Linked DNA regions of Oryctolagus cuniculus. Each later gene encodes a partner of the first gene's protein in a complex. Links are inferred from orthologs where the notes say so. Each region holds a gene or a part of one and is shown on either strand. Other genes may lie near its edges. The genes, in order: OGDH and TCAIM.

The links.
Region 2: the proteins of OGDH (region 1) and TCAIM are in contact, whole or in part, in a cryo-EM structure (PDB 8I0K), measured with the Homo sapiens proteins. The link is inferred for Oryctolagus cuniculus from reciprocal best matches to the Homo sapiens genes OGDH and TCAIM. Residues at the interface, in NP_001425937.1 of Homo sapiens: Gly301, Tyr304, Arg323, Tyr354, Arg356, Ile358, Arg364, Asn365, Lys387, Glu391, Tyr394, Cys395, Gly396, Thr398, Glu399, Lys401, Lys402, Lys561, Met602, Pro605, Glu667, Gly668, Ile669, Asn709, Met734, Ala735, Ser736, Pro737, Asn738, Gln772; in NP_001269842.1 of Homo sapiens: Glu214, Gln234, Arg235, Ser236, Trp237, Gly238, His241, Ser244, His247, Ser248, Arg251, Gln255, Asp272, Arg273, Thr286, Met287, Asp288, Val289, His290, His291, Glu331, Leu332, Gln333, Pro334, Val335, Arg375, Tyr376, Glu441, Ser443, His473.

Annotation. Positions count from the first base shown.
Region 1 is NC_091447.1:52,005,776-52,021,973, reverse strand, and holds the end of OGDH (2-oxoglutarate dehydrogenase complex component E1), read right to left. Parts: intron 15,527-16,198; coding exon 15,398-15,526; intron 13,200-15,397; coding exon 13,020-13,199; intron 12,694-13,019; coding exon 12,541-12,693; intron 12,155-12,540; coding exon 12,052-12,154; intron 11,892-12,051; coding exon 11,763-11,891; intron 11,545-11,762; coding exon 11,394-11,544; intron 11,195-11,393; coding exon 11,067-11,194; intron 10,967-11,066; coding exon 10,788-10,966; intron 10,629-10,787; coding exon 10,557-10,628; intron 10,120-10,556; coding exon 9,991-10,119; intron 9,335-9,990; coding exon 9,262-9,334; intron 7,165-9,261; coding exon 7,001-7,164; intron 6,901-7,000; coding exon 6,746-6,900; intron 6,655-6,745; coding exon 6,534-6,654; 3' UTR 5,682-6,533; downstream 1-5,681. UniProt on the Homo sapiens protein: 2-oxoglutarate dehydrogenase (E1o) component of the 2-oxoglutarate dehydrogenase complex (OGDHC). Participates in the first step, rate limiting for the overall conversion of 2-oxoglutarate to succinyl-CoA and CO(2) catalyzed by the whole OGDHC.
Region 2 is NC_091441.1:112,020,187-112,036,092, forward strand, and holds the end of TCAIM (T-cell activation inhibitor, mitochondrial), read right to left. Parts: intron 10,557-15,906; coding exon 10,512-10,556; intron 8,928-10,511; coding exon of another isoform or gene 8,883-8,927; coding exon 8,687-8,882; 3' UTR 6,989-8,686; downstream 1-6,988. Other genes in the region: uncharacterized protein C3orf86-like, read left to right, coding at 1,980-2,483. UniProt on the Homo sapiens protein: May regulate T-cell apoptosis.

The DNA.
Region 1 (16,198 bases):
TGCTGTGTGGGAGAAGGACACGGGCCTCGGGGCGCCAGGGAGCAGCCCGTGTTTCCGTGGGGTTCCACTCCCAGTCTCACACAGGACTCGGAACGCGTAGTCGTAGGTTACTGGAATTAAGACAGCGGAAGTTAATACAATCATGGCATTTGGGGGCTGGGCCTGGTGGGAGGTCCTTGGGTCACTGGGGTCAGGCCCTCAGAAGGCAGCTCTCACCCCAGGGTTGGCTGAACGTTTCCTCTGCTTCCTCTCCTGCCTGATCTTGGACTTGAACCTCCAACTCTGAGCTAAAGAAGCCTTTCTCAAAATAAATTGCTTGTTTTTATTCATTTGAAAGAGAGAGAGAGAGAGAGAGAATCTTCCATCTACTGGTTCACTCCCCAAATGCCTGCAGCAGCCCAGGCTGGGCCAGGCCAAAGCCAGGATCCAGGAGCTCCATCCGGGTCTCCCACTTGGGTGCAGAAGCCCAAGAACCTGGGCCATCGTCCACTGCTTTCCCAGGCACGTTAGCGGGAGCTGGATCCGAAGTGGAGCAGCCAGGACTCGAACCAGCGCTCGTGTGGAATGCCAGCACTGCAGGCAGCGGCTTTTCCGCTGCACCGGCACCAAGGTTCTTCATTTTTCAGTTTGCAGTAGTCTGCCTCCCCGCTTTGGGACATCAGCCTGCAGACTATCCCTTCCATTCAGGGCTGGGGAACTTCTCTCTGGCCGGGGCCATCTGCACGTTTAGAGCATCATTCGTGGGCCGGGCGAAATCCTCAGGCTAAACAGCAGCCTGCTGTGCGCGTGCTGAGCTGAGTCTGCGTGTGGTAGCCGTGGCGGGGCCAGACACGTGGCTTCCTGGCCTTACCTGGCCCGCAGCCCGGACAGGAAACCCTACCTTCATACCTCCAAAGGACGCCTGGCCAACAAGGTGGAAAACCTGCCCCTCGGAGGCACAGCGCCTGCGTCTGAACACTTATATGCAGAGAAACGGCGCAGGTGCAGAGACAGTTGACAGAAGGGCCGGGAAGGTATCCTGGACAAAGGCAGGGCTTGTCCTTACGCCACGCTCTGCCAAGGGTCTTCAGGGAGCGCTCCCTCGTGGAATATCACAAGTGGAGGTTATTTTTATTCTCCAGAGAGTTTCAAAACAGCCAGCTACGGGCAAGAGGGCTGTAGTTCCCTTATTAGATGAGTGACTGCAGGGTGGCACCCATTAGCAAGTAGGGCAAAGGGGCCAGCGTGGCGGGGCAGCAGGTTGAGCCAGTTCTTGCAGCTTTCAAACCAGCTCCTTGCTAACGCGCCTGGGAAGGCAGTGGAGGGTGGCCCAAGTGCTTGGCCCCTGCACCCACGTGGGAGACACGGATGGAGTTCCGGGCTCCTGGCTTCAGCCTGGCCCAGCCCTGGCTGTTGTGGCCATTTGGGGTGGGGAAAAAAAATCTGTCACTTTGCCTTTCAAGCAAGTAAATAAACTTTTTATTTATTTATTTATTTATTTATTTATTAATTAAGGAAGGCGGTGTGTATGCCTGTACTCATGGCTGGAACTCCATCTGATCCTGCTCGCAACTGAGTTTTTCTTCTTATTCTGCAGGGGCGGAGTTTCCGGAAGAGCCGGGGTCCTGGTGTCTGACCCCACTGGGTCACTGGAGCTCCTCTCAGCGGCCACCGCACAGCCTGGCAGAGGACGCACTTCCCACAGAAGCCTGGAGGGAGTCTCCCTCGCACTGTCCTGGCTGTTGACAGTCCTCCGGAAGCTGCTAATCTGGGGGCGGCCCCGGGTCATTCTAGGAGGGCAATGATGATAACAGGTCTCCTACAGCACCAGGGACACAGTAACACAGAAAGCAAAACGTGCAGCTAAATGCAACAGCCCTCTCTCTCCCTCCAGTCCTTCACAGGATGTTTGGTGGCTGAAGAAAAGTTACACCACATCTGACCTGGCTCTAAATGTATCTAGAAAAATTTATGGAAACTGTCCAGTAAGTGTGTTGCAGAAAGCAATGGAGACTGCCGTAGCTTGGCAGTTAGGGTGCTCTTCTCCCATGATCGAACAGGGATGCAGGCACTGCAGGCGGCGGCTTTAACCACTACGCCACAGCGCCGGCCCCTGGGCAGTTGATTTGTATATTTGGGCGGAGCTGGGGAGCCCACATCTGCTTTGGGACTTTCCCACGCTCTGGGACGACCCCCACAAAATGGAGCAGGGTAACAGGATGCAAAGGGAGCCAAGGTTCCTACACATCACTTGGTAAAATGAAGTATCAGCAGACTGTGGTAAGCTCTGCATGTGTAGTACCTGGAGCACCACCAGATCCAGTATTAAGCTCTTCCAAGCTGTTTGGTGCAGGGCCGCCGACGCCCACATCCCTGTCAGACTGCCTGGATTTGAGTCCCGGATTTCTGGGAGGCAGCAGGTGGTGGCTCAAGTACTTGGGTCCCTGCCACCCACCTCGGAGACCTGGACGGAGCTCCTGGCTCCTGGTTCAGCCTGGCCAGTCTTGGCGGTTGCAGCCATCTGGGGAGTGAGCTAGCTAGTGGAAGCTTGTCCTGTCACTCTGCCTTTCAAATAAATAAATAAATAAATAAATAAATAAATAAATAAATAAAAAGGAGTAGTATAACACATGCTGGCAAGGATACAGAGAAGGGAGAACCCTTACACAAAATTTTGGGACTGTAGATTCATATGACCATTACGGAGAACAGTGTGGGGTTTCCTCAAAAAACTAGAACTAGATCTACCATCTGGCGCAGCAGTTCCAGGACTGGGTACACCGCCAAAAGACTCGCGCTCTAACGGTACTCGGATTCGTTACAGCTGGATGCACAGTGGGCGCGACACGGCATCAACCTGTGTCCAGCAACAGATGAGAGGATAAATGTGTCTACAGCCACAGTGTCATGAAAAGGAATGCAAGTCTGTCACCGGCAGCCACACGAATGGAAGTGGAGCACACCGTGTTACATGAAATCAGGCACAATATGCCGCATGCTCACACACACACGAGGACGCCACAGCCTTGGTCTCCTAGGAGCAGAGAGGGGACCATGGTTACCAGGGCCTGGAAGAGCGGGACGGGGAGAGGGGAGCTGGGTTGATGGGGCCCAGGGTACCACAGGACAGAATGATGTTCCCAGCCGCAGGAGGGCAGCCCAGCCAAACTGACAGCAACTGTAGGTCTCCAAGCAGCTGGGCGAGAGCACTGGCGTGTTCCCAACGCACAGGGACGAGGGCCGTCACCCCGCACGCGGTAGACAGCCATGACTGATGGCAGTGCCAGTCAAAAGCAGGAATACATATAAGGAAAGAACTCTACAATGCAGAATTATATACTATGAGAAACTGGGGTTTGTTTGAGGAATCCAAGTTTGAGAGTCAGTGTAACAGGCTAATGAAAAAAAAAATCATGATTTTATCAACAGACACAGGTTCTGGTATGTGAGTATCCCCAGAAATGTCATTTTTTTTTTTTTTTGACAAGCAGTTAGACAGTGAGAGACAGAGAGAAAGGTCTTCCTTCCATTGGTTCACTCCCCAAATGGCCGCTACAGCCGGCACTGTGCTGATCCGAAGCCAGAAGCCAGGTGCTTCCTCCTGGTCTCCCATGCAGGTGCAGGCCCCAAGTACTTGGGCCATCCTCCACTGCACTCCCAGGCCACAGCAGAGAGCTGGCCTGGAAGAGGGGCAACCAGGACAGAATCCGGCGCCCCGACCGGGACTAGAACCCGGTGTGCCAGCGCCGCAGGTAGAGGATTAGCCTAGTGAGCTGCGGCGCCGGCTGTCATTTTTTTAAAGGATTTACTTATTTTCCCTGGACCCTGCCAGTCACTCCAGCCTCAGGGCCTGTACGTTAGCCCCACCCCCACAGATGCCTTTTGGAGGCCTCTCACTGCTGTTGCAATCAAAGGGCTCTGGGCCAGGCCACCTCCAGCTGGGGCCTGCACACCTGCCCGGGCAGCGCCGGGCCTAGGTCTCTGGGGGCCACCCTATGCTCCTCCTCTCCATTCCTCAGCCAAGCAGGATTCCTGTGAGCTGTTTCCAGGATCCAAAGGAAAACTCCTCCCCTTACCCAATCGCCCTGACACCTGGCCTCCCTTCTCAGCCAGGCCTGCTCACTGTGTGGGCGTGGCCTCCTGCCTGCCGTGCCCACGGGCAACCCTTACCTGGCTTCCCTGAGGTGTCACTACCCCTGGATGCCCCCGGTGAACTCTGTCACCAGTGAGTACTGAACCCAAATCCTGGAGTGGGCTGGGGGAGGCAGAGCTGGCATCAGGCCCTGACCCAGTCTGGTTAGGGGAGGATCAGGCTGGCTAGCTGTGCAGTGTGGACACTGCAGCTGGACAAGCGGGGGTCTCCGCCTGCGGGCTCACAGACGCCAAAACAGGGGCACTTTCTACGGTCTCTCCTCACGCCAGTCCTAGCTGAATCCCATCCTGACCCGAGCTCACCGCCACAGCCACCTGGACTAAGCAGCCAACAGGGGCAGCACCTCCCAGGCAGCCCAGGGAGCCGTTGCCCACCTGGGCTCACAGCTGTCAGCAGCTGTGTGGCCACAGGCAGAGTCCATCTCACCATCCAGTCTCGCGTGCGGCTGGGGCGCGTGGGCCCTTTCGCATCCAGAGTGGCACAGGACGTCCCCTGGCCCACCTGGAGAGGTGCAGCCAGGAGCTCCTGGGGTCCGTGCGCTCAAGCCCTGAGCACAGGCTTGTACAGAGAACCAGACCCACGCCTCCCTCACCGATGCCGCTACCCTGGGCCATCCCTGCCCACTGTGCACGTTCCCTTCCCTGACCCCACACCGCACACACGTGGGCCCTGGCCTGCAGCAAACGCAGGTGAGGAGGGCGCCACCAGCAGGCCAGTCCAGGGCATTGCAGCAGCAGGCCCCTGGCCAGTGCACGTCAGTCTTGTAGGGGGCTCAGGGCCAGATCCATGCTTGGAGCACGGCTAGAGCCCCCACTCATTTCAACAGCTTTCTGAGGAGCCAGGCCCACCCCGAGGTCACGGCCCCACAGGAAGGGCTCAGGGCCGGTGACCTCACCTGACCCGGAAGTGCTGCCGGCTGCCCCGTGCCAGAATGTCCTGTCGTGGCCACCCTCCAACAGGACTCTGGGGCTGGGGTGAAGCAGGAAAGGCCAGACCCCTGCCCAGATGGAGGCTCCAGTGGGGGAAGTTCCGAGAGCTTCCTCCTGCACACAGGACTCTCCAGCCCCAGGGAGCTCGCGTGCGGCTTGGGTCCCCACTGCATCGGGCGCGGGGACCTGTGTCCCGAGCACCTGCTCCTGCCAGCATCGGCCGGGGTCAGGAGGCAGCAGCGGGGTAAACCCGAGATCCAGACATTGCGGGCATGGCTCAGGTGGGCACTGCTGGGCAAGGGGGGCCGGGCCTGGGGACACACTCCCAGGCACCTGCCCCACCAGGAGGCCGACGCCTGGGTCATTATGGGTTAGATCGTGGACTCCTGACCAGAGAGGACACAGGGCCTGGAATGGTCAGAACCAGGCTGCACCTAAAGCCAGCCCTGCAGCCAGGCCGCCGCACCACGCTCACGAGGACAGCACCGGTGCACGTCGGGGCCTGGGCCTGGGCCACACTGCCCCAGCGTGCAAGGGGGCCGCTGGTGGCCTCGGCTGCTATGTCCGAGAAGGGGACTGGCCCCCGGGAAGAAGGCGGAGTGCACAGAATGACTCAGACAGCCTGTGGATAACTTAGTTTATGGGTCAAGCCGATGCAATGCAAAGTTGTTTTTGTTCTTTTTTTTTTAACCAAAATAAATAATCAGATCTGTCCCTGTGAAGGTCGAAGTGAGGACGAAGGCGGCTGGCCCTCGGCTGCAGCCCTTACCACCTCCTGCTCCTGACCTGCTTTGGCACAGCAAAGAAAGGACTCATTTAGTCTCCACTGGGATCATGGGAAACAGCAGGGAGCGGGGTGTGGCGGGGAGCAGGTCCGCGGGACTGGGACGGAGACGGAGCGGCCAGCGCCCGGTTGTGGGCACCAAGGGTGCTGCCCGGCCCCAAGAGGGTGAGTGGGACACGGCCCCATGTGGGGCCCTGGACTCACGGGGAAGCCTGGGATGGACACTGTGGGGCTCGAGCCACCGCGAGCATCCACGGTTCAGCCCACAGCCGGGGCCTCCCGGAAGCCCTGCCAGCCCAGGCCCTCTGGATCCTGAGGCTTGGCTGTGGGAAGACAAAGCCCCTGTCCCAGTGCAGGAGCCCACGCCTCGCTGGGTGACAAGGACAGCCGCTCCGGGAGGCCACACAGGGGCTCTCCTCTGCCCTAGGGGGGGTGCTGGGGGAGGGGTGTAGCCGGAGCTGGGGGGAGGGGCATCCTTCTCCCCTGCTGCCCCCTCCTCCCAGAAAGCTGCTCGGCCTGACAGAAGTCAGGACAGCCCGGGAGCCGGCGGGCAGCCGGCACTCAGGGACAGGGGCCTAATTCCTACGAGGGCACAGCGGGGGCAGAGTGGGTGGCGCTCAGGCACTATCCTTCAGTTGAGAAGCGAGGGCAGCGTGGGCGTGGGGGGCAGCGGCGCACCCCGGAGCGTTTACGAGAAGTTCTTGAAGGCGTCCAGGTCGAAGGCGGTGTCCAGCAGGCGCTGCAGCTCCGTCAGGTGTGTCTTCTTGTTGCCGGTGGCCGGAGCGGCCGCTGGGTCCCGGCCCGCGTACCTGGGACAGACAGACGGGCCGTGAGGGCGACGGCCGCGGCAGGCCCGGCCCATCCCGTCCCGTCCCGTCCCCCGGCGGGGCGGGGCCTCACCAGACGGGCTTGGCGCGGTCGATGGTGGTGCGGAGCCTGGGCTTCACGTAGTCGTAGTAGCCCTGGTTCTTGTGCTCCTCCTGGCACCAGGCCAGCTCGGCGTTCGGGTACTTCTGCACCTCCTTCAGCAGAAGGTCGAAGGGGAACGGTGACAGCTGCGGGGGGAGGGTGGGGGGTGGTGGTGAAGAGGGCGCCGCGGGGCGCAGGCAGGGCTGCCCTGAGGGGCTGTCTCGCGGAACAGACGCCGCCTCTCACCTGCTCAATCCTCGTGATGGCCACCTGCTCGGCCATGCCCCTGGCGGCGCGCTCGCGGGTGAGGTCGTAGTACACTTTGCCCGTGCAGAAGAGGAGCCTCTTGACACCGGCGGGGGCCTGAGCTGCAGGGCCGCTCTCTGGGATCACCCTCTGGAAGTGGGTCCCTACAAGAGAATCCCCGGGGCCGGGCTGGTTCCTTCTCCAGGCCCACCCAGCGGTGCTGGCTGTGAGCGGAGGATCGCGTGGGACGGAGGCCACCCCGCGCAGCCTCTGCTGCACACCGAGCACTGGAGAAGCGTGTTGCACTGTGCGAGGGCTGATTCTCCCACAGAGCCTGATACGGGCATTCAGGGACAACCGAGCCATCAGGACACCCGTCTCCTGCATGCCTATGCCTCACGCGTCTACAAATCTAAGAACTTTCAACAGAGGTCAGAGGACAGACCAGGTGCCGAGGGGAACAAGGTTGAGTGAGGAAATCACGTTCAAACTCAGTGCCATGATGAAAATTTTCAAATGTCAACATGAGAAAAGCCATCTGTGAAGCCCACAGGAACCGTCAGACTCCGTGGTTGGAGGCTGACGGCTCTGCTCTGAGGTCACGGACATGGGGCGGGCATTTGGCCTGGTGATTCAGACGCTGATTTAGACACCAGGCCCCCCTCAGAGTGCTTCCAGCTTCCTGCCCACGCAGTTCCTTGGAGGCGGCAAACAACGGCTCAAGCAGTTGGGTCCCTGCCACCCACGAGCGAGACTGGGACTGTGCCTGGCAGTGTGTGTGGTACCAGTACAGACGGGGCCCACAGGTAACCCCTGCATACACACTCAAATGATCGACCAGCAGGATTCCGTCTGCTGGGGGAGGCGACGGTCGTTCTGACAAACAGTACTAGGAAAACTGGGACCCATGTGCGACAGAACGAAGCCTGTGAACGCATGTATGGAAAATTCACTTAAAGAGGATCAAAGAGCTAAATCTAAGAGTTAGGCCTCCAAATCTCTTGGGAGAAAGATGGGAAAATATTATAAAAATGGACTTGGCAATGATTTCTTGGATATGACCCAAAGACAGAGGCAACAGCAGAAAACAGACCGTTTGCATTTCATGAAAATCTAGAAGTTCTGTAAACCAGACATTGTCAACAGAATGAAAAGGCAACTCATGGAAGGGGAAGCACGTCTCTGGTGAGGAACAACAGCGGGGACAGAGAGCTGAGGCTCAGCAACACAAAGACACTTGGATTAAAAGTGGGCAGAGCTGGCCGGCGCCGCGGCTCACTAGGCTAATCCTCTGCCTGTGGCGCCAGCACACCGGGTTCTAGTCTCGGTTGGGGCACCAGATTCTGTCCCGGTTGCCCCTCTTCCAGTCCAGCTCTCTGCTGTGGCCCGGGAGTGCAGTGGAGGACGGCCCAAGTGCTTGGGCCCTGCACCCACACGGGAGACCAGGAGGAAGCACCTGGCTCCTGGCTTCGGATTGGTACAGTGCCGGCCATAGCAGCCATTTTGGGGGTGAACCAACGGAAGGAAGACCTTTCTCTCTGTCTCTCTCTCTAACTCTGCCTGTCAGGGGAAGAAAAAAAAAAAAAGTGGGCAAAGCTGGTGGAGATGTTTCTTTAAAGGCCACTAAGCGCACAAAACACGCCCAGCGTCAGGTTTTCAGAGATGAGAATCAAAACCACGAGGAGCCACTGCCTCATGCCCAGCAGGACGGCTGCTAACAGCAGCACAGCGGGAAGCGCGAGTGTGAGTGTCGGACGCGCCGCGGCAGGGGATGCAGCAGGGCGCAGCGCCGCTGGCGGGGCCTGGCAGCTCCTCGGCGCGAAAACAGAACTGGCGAACGCTCCAGGGAGATTCCACCGCTGCCACACACCAACACGGGGCGGAAGGCGGGGCTGCGGAGACGTGCTCGTCCGCGCACGGCCCTGAGGAGGCCTGGCAGCCGGGAGGGGGTGAGTGCCTTGGCCCCAGGAGCACCTGGGCACGTTCAAGTGGCCACGGCTGCCAGCACCTGTTCCCCACAGCCACCCGGAGGCCTCAGGCCCGGGCCTCACTCCGCACCGGCACAGCCAGCGCTCCTTGCAGGAGCCGGGGTGCGGGGGAGGAGTCACAGGAGCCGCTGGCTCTCAAGAGCCTCTACGCAGTCCTGGGGGCACTCACAGGCGAGAGCCAGCAGCCTCTGCCCACGGCCAGGAAAAGTCAAACGTGAAGTCCTGCGAGCCCCACAGAGCAGCAGCAGGGAACCCCCAACCCCACCCACCCACCTGGAAGCATCTCGTCAAAGCTGGTCCTGGCCTCAGGGTGGCGCAGCAGGGACTTGGGCGTGAAGATGATCAGCTGGAAGACAACAGGCCCACGATGCTCTCCAAGTCCCAGAAGCTGGTCGGAAGCCAAGGCCACCCAAGCTGGACCCTGGGTCCCAGCAGACAACGCCCAGTGCTGGGCGGAGCCTCCCTCAGCGGGGGCAGACACCCAGCTCCCAGCTGCTGAGGCCCTGGCCCCACCCCGCACCCAGGAAGAGCCCGAGCCTCTGGCAGTCACAGCAAACACACCGTCGGCCTGCCAGAGGGCGTGACAAGGTCCAACCCCAGGACCGCCCTGCCCCGCCGGCTCACGGGCTGGCTGCTGGGAATACACTCCCCTCCTTCTGCTCGTACCCCGACCCGGCGCCTACCTACTCTCCAACACGCAGCTCCTTGCAAGCCCTGGGCCCCTGCGGGTTTCTGTCTTCCAGTACTCAGCACCCCCCCAACCCCAGCTGCTCCCATGACCACCCTCGCCCTGCTGGGCTGGACCTCACAGCCTGCCCTTCCCTGGGAGCAACGCCAAGAGGGACCCAGCTCTGACTCCATCCTGTCCATGCACCCCTTCCAGGCAACAACTGGCCAGCCCCAAGCTAGAGGCCCTGGGAAAAGCCTGGCCCCGTGCCGGCGTTGCAGGGTCAGCGCCCTGGGTCACAGGTCATCCTCAGGCCAGGCCAGGCCCGCACTGACCGGCTTGCGAAAGGGCAGCAGGATCTGGCGCCGCAGAACGTGGAAGAAGTTGCCGGGCGTGGAGCAGTTGACGACGACCCAGTTGCAGTCGTACAGCTGGCTGATGTCGAAGTTGGCTTGCTGCAGGTCCTGTGGGGAGCAGCGGCCAGGGGCTGGGCAGGAGCGCTGAGCCCCTCACGCGGGCGTCTAGGAGCGAGGGGCGCCACTCCCAGGGCCCTGCCCTCTGCTTCCCCCTGGATCCCTCCCACTGCTGTGAACTTCCACCCAGCACAAAACATGCTATTTTAGGAGACACCGGTTCTCCCTAAAGCCAACCCCAATCCTCCTTAGAAACGGACCACCCGTTCTTTTCAGGTCTTGGAATCTCAGTAGAATGCCCCGAAGTTCTCTCCCTCCAACATCTGCGCGGGCCTGGTTCAGGAGCTTGTGTGGAGGTGGCCACACGGCACACCGTGGTTTCAGCAGCAGCGGGGTGTGGCCAGCAGGCGAAGCTGTGCCACAGCCTGACCTGAGCCCCAGGCCAGGGAAGGACGGCTCAGGGTGACCGACGGACTCCGCTCACTCACCGGCAGGACATCTGGGTCATCGTTGCACATCTGCAGGAACCGCTCTGGGCGTGCAGAGGAGTGCTCTGGCCCCTGGAACAGACCCCCGAGTTGGCCTGGGAGCTCTCGCGGCTCCCCTCCTGGACCACCTCGCTTGTTTCTGGTTCTTCCTCCTGGCGATGAATCTCGATCCCCCCCCCACCCCCCGCCGGCACAGCACGTGGTGTAAGACCGTGCCCGACCTGGGCTCACCATGCCCTCCATGCCGTGGGGCAGCAGCAGCACGATGCCATTCTGCCGCACCCACTTGGCCTGCCCGGGGCAGATGAACTGGTCGATGATGCACTGAGCCGTGTTGTGGAAGTCACCAAACTGGGCCTCCCAGAGCACCAGGGCGTTGGGGCTGGCCATGGCGAAGCCCAGCTCAAAGCCTGTAAGGGACGAGGGGGAGAGCCACATCCTGGCCGTCAGCCAGCGGGCGGGGCGGGGCTGCAGGCCGGGGGGGGGGGGGGGGGCGTGGGTGGGGCTCACCCAGGACGCCGTACTCGGACAGCGAGCTGTTGCACACGGTGTAGGGCGCCTGGTTGGGCCAGAGGTGGTTCATGGGGATGCAGGTTCTCTTGTCCACATTCTGGTCATGGAGCACATGGTGGCGGTGGCTGGGGCGGAACGAGGACCCGTGAGCCTGGAGTGCAGCTGCCACAGCCCACGCAGCCAGGACGGACATCCAGAGACCCTGCACGCTCGAGGGATCGACCGCCCGGCACGCGGGGCACAGCAAACGAGGTGAGGGCAGAGTAGCCGCAATGCCTGGGCCGCGTGGCTGTTTCCCCAGAATCCCGTGTGCCTCAACGCTACCTGAAGGTGCCACGCTCCACGTCCTGGCCGCTCAGCCGGATGTGGATGCCCTCCTTCAGGAGCGAGCCGAAAGCCATGTACTCCGCCAGAGCCCAGTCCACGGTGCGGTTCTTCACCAGCTCTCCGCGGGTCTTCAGGATCCGGCTCAGCCCTGCAGACAGAGCCCTCACAGCGCTGCAGGCCTGGCCCGCGTGGCTGCTCCACTCTGCTGGGGCCAGGGCCTTCTGCCCCTGCAGCCCCGGGCTTCCAGTGGTGTGGAAGGGCACGGTGAGCACAGGGCTCTGCCGACAGCAGCAGTGGGAGGGGCCGCGGGGCCTCTGCAGGACGAGAGAGGGCCAGTGTTCCCCCCGGCCAGCCCGACGCACTTACCTCCGTGGATGGTGAAGTTCTCCACGGGCACGGAGCTGGCCACGTTCCCAATGTGCGTGAGGACGTCCTCGGTGAGGCCCGTGGAGGGGCAGGACATGCTCCGGGGCTGACCGTCCAGGGTGAAGAAGCCTGCGAGGGAGGGCAGGCAGAGGCGCCGTAGCACCGTGTCGGGACGACACCTGCGCGGGGTGCTGCTGACTGCGGCACACGCCGGAGGAGCTGGACTCTGGGAGGGGCCTCCTGGTCACCTCGCGGGCACTAAGGGGTCTCCGCGGGGCCCTCTGCTCACCAGGCCAGGGCGAGTCGAGCCAGTGCTTGATGTGCAGGATCTTCTCGTCCTTGGACCTGGCGAAAGCTTCCTCGCAGATCTTGTCGTACTTGGAGATCTCCTCCTGAGGGTCGGGCATGACACCGCTGGACGGGGACAGCGGCCCTGCCGCACACACCCCGCTGCACCTCCTACTTCCTGTGTGCCTGCTCCTCGCAGCCCTGGGGTGCAGGGCTCCAGAGCTCTGTCTGCGCCCACACGTCCGTCTCTGGGGTGTCTGCCTGGGCTGCCTGCTGGCAAGCGAGCAGGCACAGCCTCTGTGGGACCACACCCGGCCCCGGGTGGAGCCAGACCTTGCACTGCTGTGTCGCTGAGGGAGCCAGCGGCCGCCACCCCCACCGCAGACCCCATCTCAGTGGCCTCCTGGGGGCTGAGGGGCTGTAGGGGTGGAGCTCTCGCTCCCTGTCTGGGTTGCCCACGGCGGCCTCCCCGCTCTGGGCCAGGACGCACCTCATACTCGGGCTGGTTGACCACGCCCTGGGCCACCAGCAGCTCTGCGTACTTCTGCAGCACTGGCTTCTGCTTGCGGATCTGCTTGTACATGAGGGGCTGCGTGAACATGGGCTCGTCCATCTCGTTGTGGCCATTGCGCCGGTAACACACCTGCACAGAACAGGGCCGGAGCTGTCAGGGACCGCAGCAAGCCCTCGGGAAGGAGCGCTCCTTCCCTAGAATGAGGGTCCTGTCTCTTGACCTGGCTGCCATCAGAGTGATAGCAACACACACTCCTTACTCTCCAAGCAGGCCCAAGAATAAACTCTGGCACCCACAGCACCCGGGCTGTGCTAGGCTCAGATGCTCTGGCTGGAGGAGCCCACGTGGGGGCCAGAGCTAGGAAGTCCCAGGGTGCTCAGGGAGTCCAGCCCCTCCAACAGGACACCAGGGCGGGGGGGGGGGGGCGGGGGGGGACTCTGCCTGGGGTCACTCACCAGATCAACGACCACATCTTTGTGGAAGGTGCTCCTCCACTCGGCTGCCACCTTGCACACATACATCACGGCCTCAGGGTCGTCTGAGTTCACGTGGAAGATGGGGGCGTTCACCACACGGGCCACGTCGGTAGGGTACGGGGAGGAGCGGGCCATCCGCGGGTCTGTGGTGAAGCCAATCTGCAAGGAATACACAGTCTGGCACACGGGCAGCTGGCGCAGCCAGTGACAGGAGGGCGGCGGGCAAGGTGGGCCCCTGGCCCTGCCGCTCGGCCACTCAGAGGGAGGGAGTGCCCACGTTCTCCCGAGGCTTTTCCTGTTCTGATTTCTAGAATTCATCTGTGTTCAACACAGAGAATCAAGCATTCTGTGATTCCACAGACCAGTGCCGATGTCTGCAGACTATCTTTTTTGTATGCACATAAACGCAAACATATTGAAAAGTCAGAAGCTTATGATTTCTACGATTTCTGTGCCTTATCAACACTGAGCATTTTTCCTTTGAAAATAAAACTCCCTACCCCTTGGGTACATTAACATTTAATTACATGATACTTCCTACCCCCGGGTGTAACAAAATTACACATTCTTAATTTTTAACTTTAAAATTTCATCTGTATGAAGTATTTCAGACACAGAATGATAATACACTGCTCCTCCACGCAGCCATCCCCAGCAACGACAAACCTGGACGGTTCGTTATTCTTGTTTCTGGGCCTGAACCCACAGGTCCCTGCCCACAGCTGACTGTCCTGAAAAAGAGGACAGCTCCACGGGCCGCTCTCTCTGTTCCACTTGTCCACAAACAGCCAGCACCATCTTCTTGGCTTGCTGGTAACTACGTTTTGACAGACAAGACCTATTTCCCAGCAGCTAGGACACGTCCTTGCCCAGAGCACAGCTCAGCTGCAAACAGCTCCTATCACAGAACACCCGCACACCACACGTCACCGCTGCCCGCTCTCCGAACCACAGTCCACACGCACGCCCTGTGCACCACCCTGACTTCTTTCCCTCAGCCTAGTCCATCTTTTTTTTTTTTTCCCCCTGATAGGCAGAGTTAGACAGTGAGAGAGAGAGACAGAGAAAGGTCTTCCTTCCGTTGGTTCACCCCCCGGATGGCTGCCACAGCCGGTGCTGCACCGATCCGAAGCCAGGAGCCAGGTGCCTCCTCCTGGTCCCCCGTGTGGGTGCAGGGCCCAAGCACTTGGGCCATCCTCCACTGCACTCCCGGGCCACAGCAGAGTTGGACTGGAAGAGGAGCAACCGGGACAGAATCCAGCACCCCAACGGGGACTAGAACCTGGGATGCTGGCTCCATGGGCAGAGAATTAGCCTAGTGAGCCGCAGAGCTGGCCAGTCCAGTCCATCTTAAAGGCTCCTGTGCCTGCCTCTGTTTTCAAGGCACTGACATTTAAAAACATTTACTTTTTCATTTTATTTGAAAGGTAGGCAGACGAGAACTTCCATCTGCTGGTTTATTCCCCAAATGCCTGCAACAGCCAGGGCTGGGTCAGGCCAAAGCCAGGACCTCAAACTCAAACCAGGCCCGACATACAGGTGACAGGGACCTAAGTACTTGAGGTATCACCTGCTGCCTTCCCAGCGTGTGCATCAGCCAGAAGCTGTAGTCAGAAGTGGAGGAGCCAGGACTTAAGCAGTGACTTGGCTACTGTGCTACAAGTCTGCTCCGGGCATTGACATTTTAAAAAACATTTCCATATTTAAATTTTTTATGGGGCAGGCAGTGTGACGCATGGGGTAAGCCACAGCTTAGAATGTCTGTATCCCACACTGGAGTGCTGGTTCCAGCGCCTCCGCTTCCGATCCATCTTCCTGCTAATGCACGCTGGGAGGCAGCAGGTGTTGGCTCGCATGGTCCTGCCACCCACACCCGAGACTTGGATGGAAGGTAGGGCTCCCAGCTTTGGCCTGGCCTAGCCCTGGCTGTTGTGGGCATTCGGGGAGTGAACCAGTAGGTGGAAGATTGCGTCACTCTACCTCTCAAATGGATGAAAATAATTAACGACTTAAAAAGAATTTTATTTATTTGAGAGGGAAAAACAGAAAGAAAAAAAGCCCGCATCCACTGGCTCATTTCCCAGATGCCCAAACGTCAGGGCTGGGCTGAGGCTGGGAACTCGATCCGGGTACCCAGGCACCTGAACCATCACTGCTGCCTCCCAGGATCTGCGCAGCAGGAAGCTGGAGTCAGGGGCTGGAGCTGGGCACTGAATGTTTCAACGTGGCAACGGGTGCCCTGACCAGCGTTCTAACCACTGGGCTCAACGCCCACTCCAACTCACTTTCACAATGGGAAAGCAACAGACGTTCACACAACCAAGTTGCACTGTGCAGGGAGATGGGGCGGGGGTTACCTGGTTGTTGACGACCACATGCACGGTGCCGTGGGTCGTGTAGGACGGCAGGTCACTCAGGTGGAAGGTCTCGTACACGATGCCCTGACCGGCGAAGGCAGCGTCCCCATGCAGGAGGATGGACATTACCTGTGGACGCCAAGCAGAGCCGCATGCACTGTGTTCTGACACCAAGCCCACAAGGGCAGGCGGCGAAGAACCCAAACCCACCACATCCTGAGCCCGGACCCGCAGGGCAGGCAGCGGATGGGGAGCCATGGTTTGTTCTGAGGTGGCAGGAGAGCACAGGGACCCCGATCCTGTGGCCAACCCCACACACCTGCCATCTTGCCCCCACTGTCTGCTGTGCTACACGGACGGCCACTGTGGCTCACCATTCCAGATGCCCTCCCACAGGAGGCAACACTGGCCCCGTCTGCCCCAGACCCGCAGGCCAGGGCCACTGTGAGTGACATCAACCAAGCACCCTGGTCACCTGACAGGTCTCCCTCTCTGCTTCCTCCTTGGTGGGGAGCACAGGGTAGCACTGTGAGGTGACACTTCCTACCGGCTCCCCCCAGCCCTCACTTTGAGCCGGTGTGCTCTCCCCGCCCACAGGCCGCGTGTGGCTGACAGAGCCCGTCGTTATCCGACGCTCTTGCTGTTCCCCTAGGCTGGCCTGTCCGTCTGTGCTTCGTGCACCACCGGGCTGCCCCGTCCGTCTGTACTTTGTGCACCACCGCGGCCACAGCCTCCCCCTGGAGGATGGGCCCTTTCACAGAGCGGGAAACACACACATGTGCACGTAAACTGTGCTCCTGC
Region 2 (15,906 bases), on another chromosome or scaffold:
CATTCAAGTAAACACCCACCCTGAGAATTTCTTTCTCATGGTTTCTACTTAGGCACTTCCCAGCATCAAGCAAGCCATGGCAGGCTGAGTCTTCCTCATGCTTAGAATCTCGTTTCTCCTACTGTGGCATCTCTCCTTGACCCAGTCAGAGAAATCGTGCTAATTTTTAGGGCTGGAGTGATCAGATTGACCTGGATGACCTGGAATAATATCCCTAGTTTGAGGGCCGTGCTTTAAACCACATTTACAAAGTCTCTGGCCACAGAACTCAATATATTCACAAGTTCCATGTATCAGCGCATAGCTGTTTTTGGTGGACCATTCTGTTGACCACACATGGTCATGTTTTTGTAAAACTTGCATGAGTGATTTTTTTTGTCTTTCTGTATGGGATTCAACGTTCTGCATTCTCTTAATCCAAGACCATTTTCCAAGTTGTAATTAAATAACTTTTGGATAAAATGAGTTTTTACATGTGGCAAACAACATTTTCTTAAGGAATATAGTAGAATTAATTGCATAGAAAATATAAAAGATGGGAAACAGCACCATGGCACAGTAGGTTAATCCTCTGCCTGCGGCACTGGCATCCCATTTGAGCACCAGTTCTAGTCCTGGCTGCTCCGTTTCCAATCCAGCTCTCTGCTATGGCCTGGGAAAGCAGTAGAAGATGGCCCAAGTCCTTGGGCCCCTGAACCTCCATGGGAGACCCAGAAGAAGCTCCTGGCTTCAGATCGGCACAGCTCTGGCTGTTTTGGCCATTTGGGGAGTGAACCAGCAGAGGGAAGAGCTTTCTCTCTGCCTCTGCCTCTCACTGTCTGTAACTACCTTTCAAATAAATAAATAAATAAAATCTTTAAAAAAAAGAAAATATGAAAGACCATTGCACATAACTTTGTTTCATGAAATTGTTAGTGTATACACACACATGCACACACACACAGGATCCAGGTCAGGATGTATAGCATTCTCAGTAGCCAGTCCTCCCTCAGATCTGTGCAGAATTGGTTCCAGGACTTTCCCTACCTCCTCAACCCCCTGCCTCAGATATCAAAATATTTGGATGCTAGGTTTGCTTATATATTTGTCTGTCACTGATATACATCCTGGCGTGTTGTTTAAGTAATCTCTAAATGACTTATAATGCCTAATACAACGTGGTGCTATGTAAGTTGTTGTTACATTGTATGACAGACCTTCAAAACCTCATGGAAAATGTGCATTATATTTTAATACCATTTTTCCACAAACTTTTTGAAGCCCCCTGAATTCTCTGTGTGGAAAATACTGACAAGGCCTATGTCTGTGCATGCTTGATACAGACTATTTATTTATTTATTTATTTATTTTTTAACCAATAGTTGGTTGAATCCATGGATGTTCAACCTGAGGATGTGGAGATTGAAAATATTGAAAAGCAAAGCAAGGGGCTGGAGTTGTGGTGCAGTGAGTTGAGCCCACTGCCTTGCGATGCCAGCACATCCCATACTGGAGTGCTAGTTGGAGCCCTGGCTCCTGCTTTGGCCCATCTTCCTGCCAATGAGCCTGGGAAGGCAGGGAAAAATGGTCCAAATACTTGGGCCCCTGCCACCCCTGTGGGAGACCAGAATGGAGCTACTGGCTCCTGACTTTGGTGTAGCTCAGCCCTGGTGGTTGAAGGCATTTAGGAAGTGAACCAGTGGATGGAAGATCTCTCTCTTTCTCTCTGTCCCCTTTTGAAATAAAAAGTAAATAAGCAAATAAACATTTAAAGAAAGAGGAAGAAAACAAAACAAAACTCTAGCATGGATCTTGCGCCTCCCTTTGGGCTTTTTCCTAGTCCTGGAAGTTGTCTGTAGCACTGGGGATACTGCATCCCCCGACAGGTGCAGCTTTGGGTTTTGGGATGCCGAGGCGTGTGAGGCCCCTTCTAAGCCTCCACCCCCAAGGAGGGAAGACTGGAAGATCTCCCTGTTGTCTTGCTCTTCTCCCTCGTAGAGATGTCCAGGAGTCAGTTCGTATCGGGGAAGAAACCTCTAGATACGTTTTTCTGGGTCAATGAGATAACTGGAGAAGTCACCTACCCACCATGGAAGGCCACCATGCCTGCAGCTGCTCCTGAAACACCACAAGAGAAGTCCGGCTCTCAGCATGGGGGCGTGCAGGGGGCTCCTCCCTGTCCCCAGGACCTGCTCGCCGCCCCTGCACAGAGGCCTGTCCCTTCGCCTCTACCCACAGCATCACTGAAAGACAAGAGCTCAAGAGACTCCCTCCCTTGGACACCCACAGAAGGCCAGGCTAACACTGGAGCCAGGAGCCCCTTGCAGTTCTCAGCATTCCCCGCCACCATCTCAGCACCAGGGGGCGCTCTGTTGACACTCGGCCCCCTTGGCTTGGGCCAGAGGTCATCCGTGGCCACCTTTTCTCCCCATCCTTCCAGCCCTTGGGCCTTCACCTGCAAGCTGAAAAATGTTATTACTGGAAACAACCGATTTTCCTTTTGAGCCTCGGGAAGTGTTTGCACCCTGAAGCAGCTTTCTGAGCCATCCGTGGCTGGGGCAGCCACACCTGTTCCTGTGCACCTTTATGCTCTGTGAGGACCTTGCCAAACGCTTTCAAACCCAACATAAACTGTGTTTAGATTTTTGACACATGATCTCTTCTAGACTTTCATTTGCCTCCTGACCATCTGGGTTTTCCCCTCTTAGCTCCATGGGTCGGCAAGGCTGTTCTGATGCTGGTGTCTAAGCCATAGGCAGAGGAGACCTCCACGGGTGGGGATGGGGACCAGGCAGGAAGAGTAGAACCCTCAGGCCCAGTGTCCCTGGGGCATGGCCTGGGTCATCTCCAGGGCAGTGAGGGGCCAGAGCTAAGAGTGGAAGGAGCCAGGGTGGACACTGGCCTTTTGGACAGACCCTCATCCCCGGCTCTGTGATTTTCCTGGGCTGCTGATGCAACAGGCTTGGATGATGCCTTAGTGGGAAGTGGGCAGCATGTGCCCTAGTCCTGGCTGCTGCTCTCAGCCCTCTGGGAATGGAGTGGTGAGCAGTGGGGAGCTGCACCCATGAGGACTTCACCCCGTATCAGGCAGGCAGGCCCAGGGCCATGGGGAGCCTTGGGGAGGAGCTGTTGGAGAAGTTGCTGGAGTTCCGGTGCAGATCCGGCTGGGTCCCGGTCGTCACAGAGCAGCTGCAGTTGGAGTGTCTGCTTAGGGCGGACTCAGTGTGTCAGCGATGCTACAGGGTGGTGGGGCACGCAGAGCCGTGTTGGAATGGTGTGGCCAGGAGCCAGCACCCATGCTAGCTGGCACCTCTGCCCTTTAGCTCGCCTTGTAGCCCTGCTGTCAGCTTTGCCCAGGGGGCACTGTGCCCCTGCCTTGGCTTTGAGCCACATGAACTTGACTTGCTAGGCATTGAGGAAGTAGACTTTGGGGGTGAGGAAGAGAATGACTATGCAGTGGAGGAGACCCCAAAGCCTCTGGCTCACGGATGCCTACCCCATAGAGGAGACCCCCTCCCTTCCCTCAGCTCCCCCTGTAGGCTGTGTCAGCCCTGGCCCTGGAGTCACCCCACACAGGCAGCCTCCAGCCCTCATCTGATTCTTGGCTGGGCCAGGAGCACCAGGGCCCTTCTTCCAGGTGGGCTAGCTTGGACGTCCAGGCTCAGAGTGGCTTCCTGCTCCTTCCTATGGCTTCTGAATTACCCCAGGAAATGAGGCCATGGGGCATCCTGGCTGCCCTGAGAACCCCCCCTGCCTCCTGCCCACCCCATTATGTGGCGGGGGCCACAGGTGGACAAGGCTGAGGACCCTGTGAAGCCCAGTTCTCTGGGCTGGGGAGCACTCGCCTGGAGTCCAGTCCTGATTCCGTGGCCAATGTGGACCCTGCCTCCCCTGGCCTCAGCTTTCCTCCATGCACAGTGCAGGGGAGAGCAGGTCTGTCCACCAGGCCTGCCCAGTCTCCTGGGCAGTGCCCGTGTGCTCAGTGATGGGCTGGGTGGAAGCCTGGAGGTCAGGCCTAGGTTTGGGTCAGCAGATCTCAAGGCCAGGCTGCTTCTGAGCGTGGCAGAGGGCAGGGCCTGGCTGGTCCACAGGGCAGTGGGTGGACTGGTTTGCTGTCTCCAGGCCCCATGCAGGGTGTCCTTGATCAAGTCCTTGGTGTCATTGCTGATGGGCAGCCATGGTCTGCAGTCACGAGATGCACAGGATGCTGAGCAGGTGAGGCTGGAAGGCAGAGAGGGCTCGGAGGTCATCAGGACCCTGGTCCTGGCTGGGCAGGCAGTGGTGCCCTGTCTGGCAGGACCACTGAATCCTGACCTACGTGGCCACTTAGCCTCATGTTCATCCAGCTTACAAGGGTCCCAGCAGGTATCTCAGGAGTTCTCAGCAAGGTAAAAGCTGAGCCTTCAACAGGGAGCTGGGCTCAGCATGGTGTGGGATCACAGCTCAGTGACACCAGTGGAATTCTCAGGACAACTAATGCCCTGAACAGACACCCAGACAAAGGAAGTCCTTTCAGGCCAGTGTGGCTCAGTCCCCCAGCTTGTGACCCAGCAGGCCTGCTGATGACGTAATAAAAGTGGGGCAGGAATTTCCTTTCGAGATTGGATGGATTGCCCACTTGCAAGATAGCCATCAGTCTGAGCTCTCAGGGTCTCTGATCCAGAAAGCCAAGCAGCAGTGGGTGTGGACCCTCCACGCAGGCCACTGACAAGAGCCTAGCAGTTAAAGCCAAGCCCAAAACAGCTCCACAGAGCTCACCCTGGGCCCAAGTCGCAGGCCAGTGTGTGTGTGTGTGGACAGCAGGGTAGGGGCACGAGTGGGGCTTTGTGACTATCCGAGCTACGGAGGGACAGGCATTTGGTCTTGTGGTTAAGATGCCCATGTTCCATATTGGAGTGTCCGGATTCACTTGCTGGCTCTGGCCCTTGATTCCAGCCTCCTACAGGGCAGACCCTGTGAGGCAGCAGGTGATGGCTCCAGCGGCTGGGTCCTTGCCATCCATGTGGGAGACCTGGATCAAGTTCCCGGCTTCTGGCCCAGTCCAGGCTGAGGCCGGGCTATCCGGGGACTGAACGTGTGGATGGGAGACCTGCATGCCCTTTTGTCCATGTCCATGTCTCTGCCTCTGACTGAGGGTTCTGTTGTTTGCTGATGGAATTCATGTTTTGCCTTCCCAATGGCTGAAGTGGAAGTTGGGGGCAGATCCTAGGAGCTACCTGTCCCTGGGGATCCCAGGCCACACACTGCCAGGCCTGGGCGAGGAGGGTACCCTGGCCTGCTCCTGGTGGCTGTTCCCCATCCCACTCAGGCAAGCCAGACTTGCCACCCTGCAACTCAGACCAGTACCCAAGGGCAGGCCTCTGTCTCCCCTGAGCAGTCTGCACCCAGGCATGCGTGGCCTGTCCGAGGCAGAGGCAGGGGTGCACCAGGTTGTCTGCGGGACACGTGCTGAGGTGACTGGAGGAGGAGCTGTCCCACAGCAACTGTGGGGCCAGTGCAGGAGCTCAGTGGGGAGCCCCAGAGGCAGACTTTGGCTCCATTTGGAGAGAGCGTCTGCTTGTTCAGGGCTACACACTGCTTTGAGCACTGCCTGGGGAGGGAATGAGCTCTCCATCACTGGGGGTGTGCAAACAGCATCTGGACAGGCCTCAGTGTCTCCCACCCTGCGGATGTCCACAGGATCTACCTGCCACTCCTGCCGGGGACTAAGGGCAGCCTGGCATGCAGACAGCATGGGCCAGAACCAGCTGCTGGAGACAGGTCTCATGTGAGGCCAGAGGATTGGGACTCAGAGCTGGACCCGGGCCTCTGATGTCCCTCCCCAACCCCTCGGCTCCTTTGCGGTCACTGCCTCCACAGGAAATCATCTCAGTGCTCTCATTAGCAGAGGCAGAGGCAGAGAGAGAGATCTTCCATCTGCTGGTTCACTCCCCAAATGGCTGCAACAGCTGGAGCTGTGCTGATCTGAAGCTGGGAGCCAGGAGCTAGGAGCTTCTTCCAGGTCTCCCATGCAGGTACGGGGGCCCAAGGACTTTGGCCATCTTCCACTGCTTTCCCAGGCCACAGCAGAGAGCTGGAGTGGAAGTGGAGCAGCCAGGACTCGAACTGGCAACTATACGGGATGTTGGCACTGCAGGCGGCGGCCTCACCAGCTATGCCACAGCGCCGGCCCCTGGGCCAATTCTTACACAAAGGATAGGCACTGGCAGTGATGGCACTGTTGTCAGGGGGCTGCAGGCTGGGCTTTGGCCAGGTGACATGGATGAGTGACGGGTGGTCTTGGAACAGGTCAGGAATTTGTGGTCAGGCAGCTGCTGGGCCCAGTCTTTGGCATCTGCTCCCTGGTCTGTGGATGGGAGCATGCCAGGACATGATCTCTCCCAGAGCTTGGAGCGCCAGGCCCATCTGTCTCTGCAGACCTGATGTGGTCTAATGGATGCTCAGGGAAGCCTGGACAGAACCCTCCAGGGTAGCTGGAGGCTGGGTTGCTGGCCTCTGTGGAAGAGGCTGAGTTAGTGTGGGGGAGGGGAGACTGGGAGGCTGGACAAGTGACCTGAACTGGAAGGGGTCACTCCCGGGACCTCTGCCTGGGCTGTGCAGCCAATCCTTTAGGATCCCAAACTGAGCTGGTCCTGGCCCCTCTTATCCTGCCCATCCCTCAAAGTGCAGTGCTCTCATTAGCTCAGGGAAGCTGCCTGGAGGTGGAGGCCTCTGAGAGGAAGTAGGGCCTGAGCAGACTTTGGACACATGCCTCCCTGGCTGGGCAGCTGGAGCGGAGGGGCCCCAGCTTTCTGGGGACGGCCCTAGCCCAGCACTGGCACACTCAGCCCTTTGGAGACCAAGGGGTAGAGGGGCCCGCGCTGCGCCAGTTCTGAGTGGCAAGAGACATTTCCCTGCTGTTAGGCGGGGGGAGGTCAGACGGGCGTCCACAGGTCTCCAGGTCTTGTAATTTCCTGTTAGTCCGCGGCGGTTGTGAAACTGCCAATAACTCGCTAACAAGACCAGTCAGTTACCTGGTTGATGCAGGTTTTATTTATCATGTAACCATTAGTTCTGAGACAAGAATCCAATTCAGAACGTATTTCGATTTTAGAAAACGTACAAATCAAACCTCATATTTTGATTATTTTTCTTATGTGAAGTTTTAATTTTTCACTCATTATTTGGTTGTGGGAAATTGTTACAGGTGACAGCATTTGTTACATTAGAAAACAGATTTTCAGTACAGGCTGAATATCCCCTGTCCAAAATGCTTGGAACCAGAAGAGTTCTGGATTTCAGATGTTCTGAGTTATCTTGGGAGTGGGACCCAGTTCTAAACGTGAAATTCATTTATGTTTCATATATACCTTATACACACAGACTGAAGACAATTTTATACAACATTTAATAATTTTGTACATGGAACAAAGTTCAAGCTGTAGAATTTCCTACTGTGGTATCATGTCGATGCTCAAACCATTTTGGATTTGAGGGCATTTCAGACTGGAGATGTTCAAGTTGTACAGCCAAGAGGCACAATTATAATAAATCAACACTTCTGATGAACACACATTTGAATTCCAACTACTTAAATAATCCATGGCTGAAATTAAAACATACCTCAGTTAACTGACTCTAACAGTGTACTGTGGAAAAAAATTCCGATTTCTTCAGCAGCAAAAGCCACAAAAACAGTGTCCTGCACTGGGATTCACCTTGTCTCCTTGAGAAAGGACCTGGATCTGGTTTAAAATATGACCCGAAGGAATGGCGGGGTAACTGCAGAGGGAGCTGCACCCCGTACATCTGATCTCTGGCTCTGCTGGGGACGCTGTACCCTGCAGGGCTAACCAGGGGTTTCAAATGTCGGTAGGGACAGGAAGGTGGGGGCTGGGGGCACAGAAGTCCTGAGCGGTGTGAGCCATTTTACATTCCACTCGACTCCTCGCAGCTCTCTGGGATGCAGGCCAGAATTCTCCTGACGGTGTGTGCCCATGGGCACCAACGAATCTCCTCCTTCAGGGTTTCAGACAAGTGTCCTGTCTGCTGGTTTGGTGCTGGCAACGGCTAGTTTTTTAATCGGGAGGAGAAATGATGGGTTTACAACTAAATTCTCTGTCACTGAATATGTCACACTGCTCATGACACTGTCCGCCCCATGGATTCAGCTGATCTTGTTCCTTTTTCTCTGAGGCAAAAATCGATTATCTAATTTTTTCTACTTATCCATCATTGGTTTTGGACATCAGCTGTCCCTTGCTGGCTGCAAAATAATGTGTGTGCATTTGTACATGAGAGACATAACCATAACGATGCATATTGAGTCATGTTACATGTAGGAGATCCCTCCAGACTTTTCTTATATCCTCTCTCTCTCACACATACACGCACGCACACACACTTGTCCAGCCTCATTTACATTTATAAAAATAGACAACTCTTGTCGAATCATTCATTTGTATATCTCTAAAAATATGTTCTTTCTCCTAACCTCTTTTTACCTAGGTTTGTCAGCCCACATGGTAAAACTGGGAGATAAAACCTTTTCAAAACGGATTTTCCAGCAGAAATTAATTAAAAAAAAGATCTACCTTTAAAGCAGCATCTAGAAATTTTTGTTTTTGTAATATGTAAATAATACTGTTGTATTAAACTGTGGATTTAAATAAGCTTCATTTAACAGCTTCTTTCTTATGGCTTTAAAAAAATAAAACAGGGCTCTGTGTTACTTAATGGCTTCTCCATTCTTCCAGTTCCAGGGAATACACAGGTCTCCGTCCTGCAGGACGGAGTAGAAGTGGGAGACGCACAGGTGCATGCCGCGCAGGGAAGGCAGCGACTGCTCCAGGAGTCTTGTGCAGCAGTCCACCATCTGCGCGCTCGAGATGCTGGGCTCCTTGTACAGCTTCTCCAGGGAGAACCTCTTTGCCGAAGCCTCTATCAGCTCCTGCTCAATGCTCTTCAGCCTGGAACATCAACACACACGTTGCTGTCAGCTGGAGTGCGTGAGGGAATGTCAGATGTTACCATGGTCTTATGTCTTGGGGCTGCAGCTCCCCATGCATGGCAATGACAGTGGCCTTCACTGGGCCCCGAGATGTTTCCTGTGAAGAGTCACTGCACAGCCCCTCGGGAGGGGTCTCCTCGTGGATTGCAAGAGTACGGTATTTGTCAATCTTTGTAGCAGTAAGGCAAAAATAATTAATGCACAATTTCAAAAGCTCCTTTCCTGCTTCACTCAGCAGCTACTAGTGACTGAAGAAAGCAGAAAGTTGAGAATATAAAACCCCAAGCTTTAGGCACCACCTGAAGTTTAACCCTCGGGCACTAATAACTTTTTTTCCAAAACAAACAAACAAACATTTATTTATTTATTTAAACAGAGTTTTAGAGAGCGAGCGAGAGTGAGAGTGAAAGATATCTTCCATCTGCTGGTTTACTTCCAAACGGCCAAAGCCATGAGCCTGGAATTCCATCCAGCTCTCCCACGTGTGTGGCAGCGGCCCAAGCCCTTGGGCCACCTTGTGCTGCTTTCCCAGGCACATCAGCAGGGAGCTGGATCAAACAGAACAGCCAAGGACTTGAACCAGTGCTCTCATGGGATGTCAGGGTCATAGGCAGCGGCTTAACCTGCTGTGCCACAATGCCAGCCCTCAGTACCGACTTCTAAATCTTCCCAGAGTAGACAGTGGGCTCACAGCAAAAGCTGGAGCTGGGACACCATGTTCTCGCCACTCTGACTTTTCCACCCCTGCCAATCCCTTTCTCATCCTTCCCTTTCAGGTGTCTTGTCCCACCAGGAGCTCCCGTCCAGGCCTACAAGTTCAATACCTGCAAGCTGAACTCAGTGTCTCAAATCCTTTCTCCCAGAGGTGGCAAATGCTCCTGGATCAAGTGTTCTACTAATTGTCCCCATGCCCCACTCCCAAGGCTGTGTTCACAACACATTTACCTGACATTTGCACAGGTAGACTGGACCAACGCATATGATACCTACGGATAAGGTACAAGCCACAGTCAGGTGCTTCTGAACCAGTGTCACTTAAATACTGTACAGGTTAACGGCAGCCATCTCTCCTGTATTTGACCACCCTCAAACTCTGCACGAAAGAGGAGACTATCATAAAGTACCCGTGAGGTAAGCAGAAGTGACTGTTAACGGGTCTGTAGTCAGCTGCCCTTGGATCACCCTCTCGGGGGCTGCTGGCTGCTTCCACACAGCGCTGCTCAGATTCAAGAAAGCAGACAGTGGTTAGGGGAGACGGGGTTCTCAGTTCTCAGAACTCATCTTTAGGATGAACTACACAGCAGGGCATGACAAGCTCCTGTAAGGGGCTTTTCCACTTGCTCAAAAAAATAATAAAGACATTAACAAGATATCTATAGCCTGACTTAGAACGAGGCCTGCAGTGTGAACAAGCTCTGTGTGGTTCCATAGCTGCTCCCTACATAAACCTGGGTAGGGTCCCCACACTCCTTCTAAAAGAAGTCTATGGTCTCAGCCCAGGTTACCCGGGCTGGGCTCCTTGTACAGCTTCTCCAGGGAGAACCTCTTTGCCGAAGCCTCTATCAACTCCTGCTCAATGCTCTTCAGCCTGGAACATCAACACACACGTTGCTGTCAGCTGGAGTGCGTGAGGGAATGTCAGATGTTACCATGGTCTTATGTCTGGGCCCCCACCGATGATGGGGAGAATGCATCAGTCCTTCTAGGCTGTGACTTTGGTTTGCTAGCACGAGTGCTCAAGAAATGCTGGCTGAATGAATGTGCATTCTTTTACAAGGCTGTTTCCGCCTTGTGCAAGCGTCAGAATTCCTCCACTTGTCTATTACTGTGCATTTCCATTGTTTCCAATTTGTACAGGTGATTCTGGAGTTTGGAGTGGGTGACACTGGGTGAGTGAAACATCAGAGTGAGTCCATGCTTGGGAGCCTGGCTTACTCTCAGGCGCCGGCCACCCTCCTTATTGCCAGCCTGCATCAAGAGCTGTAAACTGGGCTGCTGAGGCCTCAGAGGAGTGTGGGTTCCCCTTTTCTACGCCCCAGCTAGGCAACAGGAGACGGGTGCTACTGAGACGGTCATGTGGGTCCTAGGAAGGTGTTAGGTCAGAAGAATGCATTTCACCCTGTCTAGCAAGCTGGCGCCCTGCACAAGTGTGCAGCGCGCCTACGGCTATGGCTGCCTCGAGTTTCTCCTGGAAGAGGAGGAGATGTCAACTTCTATCTTGTTTAAAAACCTGCTTTATAAAGATGTATGCAGTGGGAAAGGGTTTGAAAATCAGAGGATCAGTAGGAACATGGTTCCTGTAAGGAGAGAAGGTGCCTTAATCCCTCCCTGGAGAATGCGTTGGAGGCGACCTTGACACGGGGAGAAAGCAAAGGAAAGGAGAGAGGACCATGGGGAGGGCAGGCTGCTGGGGTGGGCCCAGAGCCCAGTCTGGGGGACAGTGAAGGCCATGACTCAGCGGGCAGGTGTGCTGGGCTGGAAGCAAGTGCTTGTTCTCCTTGGAGCATAAGCATGGGACGGGGCCCGGAGCTGGGGAGGGGCTTAGGCAGTGAGAAAAGTTGGTGGATTATTTGCTAAGGGCCGGCTGGGGAATAAAACAGGTCCAGCTCTGCCCTCCCAGGGTGTGCATGCGCGTTCTGTGTCAAGGAGAAGAGGGACCACAGAGGGAACGCAATGGAGAATTTCTTTCTGGTATTTTTATTTTTCATTCTGTTCTTGAGTTGAATTTTGTTATTAACAAACCCTGCTTCTCAAACTGAGGTACATGGTGACATGGTGGTAATGCACTTTACCTACTTACACTCATACTTAGAAAATAGCCACATGAAATTTCTTGTAGGTGGAGAATAAACAAATATGGACTATTCACTAGTTAGTTTCCTAAGTTTAATTCAGCTTTTAAAAACAGCTATTTTTGGAGCAGACCTGCGTGGAGAGCGTGGGAGCCCACAGTTCGGGACATCAGCGGCAGACTCAACACACCAGCGCTGGAACGCGAGGTGAGCCAAACCTCAATAACCCGAGACACCGGCAGGCAAGCGGAGAGAGGAGACTAGAGGGAACGACCCCCGGGGCGGGGGGGACTTCACCAAGCTAACTGGAAGAGAGAGAGAGGGAAAAAAAAAAAGGTGACTGGTATGGATACGGGTTTCTCTCTCTCCGCTCACCTCTCAAGGGCGAGCAAGACAAAGAGCAGGCGCCATCTTGGACATACGTCATAAGCAGAGCGACCTCAGGTCTGCACCGGCCCTGAGCCTAGCAGTAAAACCTGACTCTGGGTGGGGCGAATTAACAGGAGATTAGGACTTAGTAAATTTATGGTGCTACTGAACTGAGACTGTGAAAAAAGAGACGGTGGGGGAGAGAACTCACGGAATTCACGTGAGCACTCTCCAGAGACGCTACAATTCCGTAACTTTGGCAACCCAGTGGGAGACTGAAGGAGAATTTGAGCCCACTCTAAGGGCCGAACAGATTCCCTGTGTGGTCCTTGGGAAAGAGCTTCTGATCTCTGGCTCCTGTGGGTATATCATTTGCCTGCTAACTACCTCCAACTTTGTTCAGCTGTGCAGAATAACTTCCCTGTTGAATCAAAAAAAAAGAGAGAGAGAGAGAGAGAGAGGTTTACCACGCCTAACCTGGGAGTGTCACCTTTGGCACACCAAACAGAGCTCTCAGGCCACACCCATCTCAAGCCCTAAGGCTCCATCAAAAACAGATAGTCCACTTAATCTAGAGTCATAGTATAACAAGAAAAAGCACCACAGTGAAGAAACCAAATATCTCCAATATGACAAATAACAAACGCAAAAACCAAGGTAATAAAAACAAGGAAGTCACCATGAAGCCCTCAAATGAAAAAAACACCCCAATTCAAGATTATGAGGATGATGACATAGAAGAAATGCAAGAAGCAGATCTCAAAAAATTGATAAGAACATTAAGAAGTTCTCAAAAACAAATTCTTGAACTACAGAAATCCTTAATGGACAAGATAGAAAATCTCTCTCGTGAAAATGAAATATTAAGGAGGAATCAAAATGAAACGAAACAACTAGTACAACAGGAAACTGGGATAGTGACTGAAGTGAAGAATTCAATAGATCAAATGAAAAACACAATAGAGAGCCTTACAAACAGAATGGGAGAAGCAGAAGAGAGAATATCGGACTTAGAAGACAGAGAACAGGAAAGGATACAGTCAGACCAAAGAAAAGAAGAGGAAATTAGGAATCTAAAACATATTGTCGGGAATCTTCAGGATACTATTAAAAAACCCAACATTCGGGTTCTAGGAGTTCCTGAAGGCATGGAGAGGGAGAAAGGATTAGAAGGCCTTTTTAGTGAGATATTAGCAGAAAATTTCCCAGGTTTGGAGAAGGACAGAGAAATCCTAGTACAGGAAGCTCACAGAACCCCTAATAAACACGACCAAAAGAGATCCTCACCACGGCACGTTGTAATTAAACTCTCCACAGTGAAACAGAAAGAAAAGATCCTAAAATGTGCAAGAGAGAAACGTCAGATTACTCTCAGAGGATCTCCAATCAGACTCACAGCTGACTTCTCATCAGAAACTCTACAAGCTAGGAGGGAATGGCAAGATATAGCCCAGGTACTAAGAGAGAACAACTGCCAGCCCAGAATATTATATCCTGCAAAGCTATCATTTGTGAATGAAGGTGAAATAAAGACTTTTCATAACAAACAGAAATTGAAAGAATTTGTTGCCACTCGTCCAGCCCTGCAAAAGATGCTTAAAGATGTGTTACACACAGAAACAAAGAAACACGGTCATCAATATGAAAGAAGGTAAAGGAAGGAAACCAAGGAAGGAAAGCTCACAGCAAAAGATCACAGGGAATTCAAAGCATATATTAGAACTTATCTTTGGCAAATGGCAGGGCAAAGTTACCACTTATCATTAGTCACATTGAACGTGAATGGCCTGAACTGTCCAGTTAAAAGACACCGTTTGGCTGATTGGGTTAAAAAACAAAACCCATCTATTTGCTGCTTACAAGAAACACATCTTTCCAACAAAGATCCATACAGACTGAAAGTGAAAGGCTGGAAAAAGATATACCATGCCAACAGAAATGAAAAAAGAGCAGGCGTAGCCATCTTAATATCAGACACCATAAACTTTACCACAAAAACCATTAAGAGAGACAAAGAGGGACACTACATAATGATTAAGGGATCAATTCAACAGGAAGATATAACAATTATCAATGTATATGCACCTAACTACAGGGCACCGGTTTATCTAAAAGATTTGTTAACGGACTTAAAGGGAGACTTAGACCCCAATACAATAGTACTGGGGGACTTCAATACTCCACTCTCAGAAATAGACAGATCAATAGGACAGAAGATCAACAAGGATACAGTAGATTTAAACGACACTATAGCCCAAATGGATCTAACAGATATATACAGAACTTTCAATCCTACAGCTAAAGATTATACATTCTTCTCAGCAGTACATGGAACCTTCTCTAGGATTGACCACATACTAGGCCATAAAGCAAGTCTCAGCAAATTCAAAAGAATTAGAATCATACCATGCAGCTTCTCAGACCATAAAGGAATGAAGTTGGAAATGAACAACTCAGGAATCCCTAGAGCATACGCGAACACATGGAGATTGAACAACATGCTCCTGAATGAACAATGGGTCATAGAAGAAATCAAAAGAGAAATCAAAAACTTTCTGGAAGTAAATGAGGATAACAGCACAACATACCAAAACTTATGGGATGCAGCAAAAGCAGTGTTAAGAGGAAAGTTTATATCAATAGGTGCCTACATCAAGAAATTGGAAAGGCACCAAATAGATGAGCTTTCTATTCACCTCAAGGATCTAGAAAACCTACAGCAAACCAGACCCAAATCTAGTAGGAGAAGAGAAATAATTAAAATCAGAGAAGAAATCAACAGGATTGAATCAAGAAAAACATTACAAAAAATCAGCCAAACGAGGAGCTGGTTTTTTGAAAAAATAAACAAAATTGACACCCCATTGGCCCAACTAACTAAAAAAAGAAGAGAAAAGACCCAAATCAATAAAATCAGAGATGAAAAAGGAAATGTAACAACAGACACCACAGAAATAAAAAGAATCATCAGAAATTACTACAAGGACTTGTATGCCAGCAAACAGGGAAACCTATCAGAAATGGATAGATTCCTGGACACATGCAACCTACCTAAATTGAACCAGGAAGACATCGAAAACCTAAACAGACCCATAACTGAGACAGAAATTGAAACAGTAATAAAGGCCCTCCCAACAAAGAAAAGCCCAGGACCAGATGGATTCACTGCTGAATTCTACCAGACATTTAAAGAAGAACTAACTCCAATTCTTCTCAAACTATTCAGAACAATTGAAGAAGAGGGAATCCTCCCAAATTCTTTCTATGAAGCCAGCATCACCTTAATTCCTAAGCCGGGAAAAGATGCAGCACTGAAAGAGAATTACAGACCAATATCCCTGATGAACATAGATGCAAAAATCCTCAATAAAATTCTCGCCAATAGAATGCAACAACACATCAGAAAGATCATCCACCCAGACCAAGTGGGATTTATCCCTGGTATGCAGGGATGGTTTAATGTGCGCAAGACAATCAATGTGATACACCACATTAACAGACTGCAGAAGAAAAACCATATGATTCTCTCAATAGATGCCGAGAAAGCATTTGATAAAATGCAACACCCGTTCATGATGAAAACTCTAAGCAAACTGGGTTTGAAGGAACATTCCTCAATACAATCAAAGCAATCTATGAAAAACCCACAGCCAACATCCTATTGAATGGGGAAAAGTTGGAAGCATTTCCACTGAGATCTGGGACCAGACAGGGATGTCCACTCTCACCACTGCTATTCAATATAGTTCTGGAGGTTCTAGCCAGAGCTATTAGGCA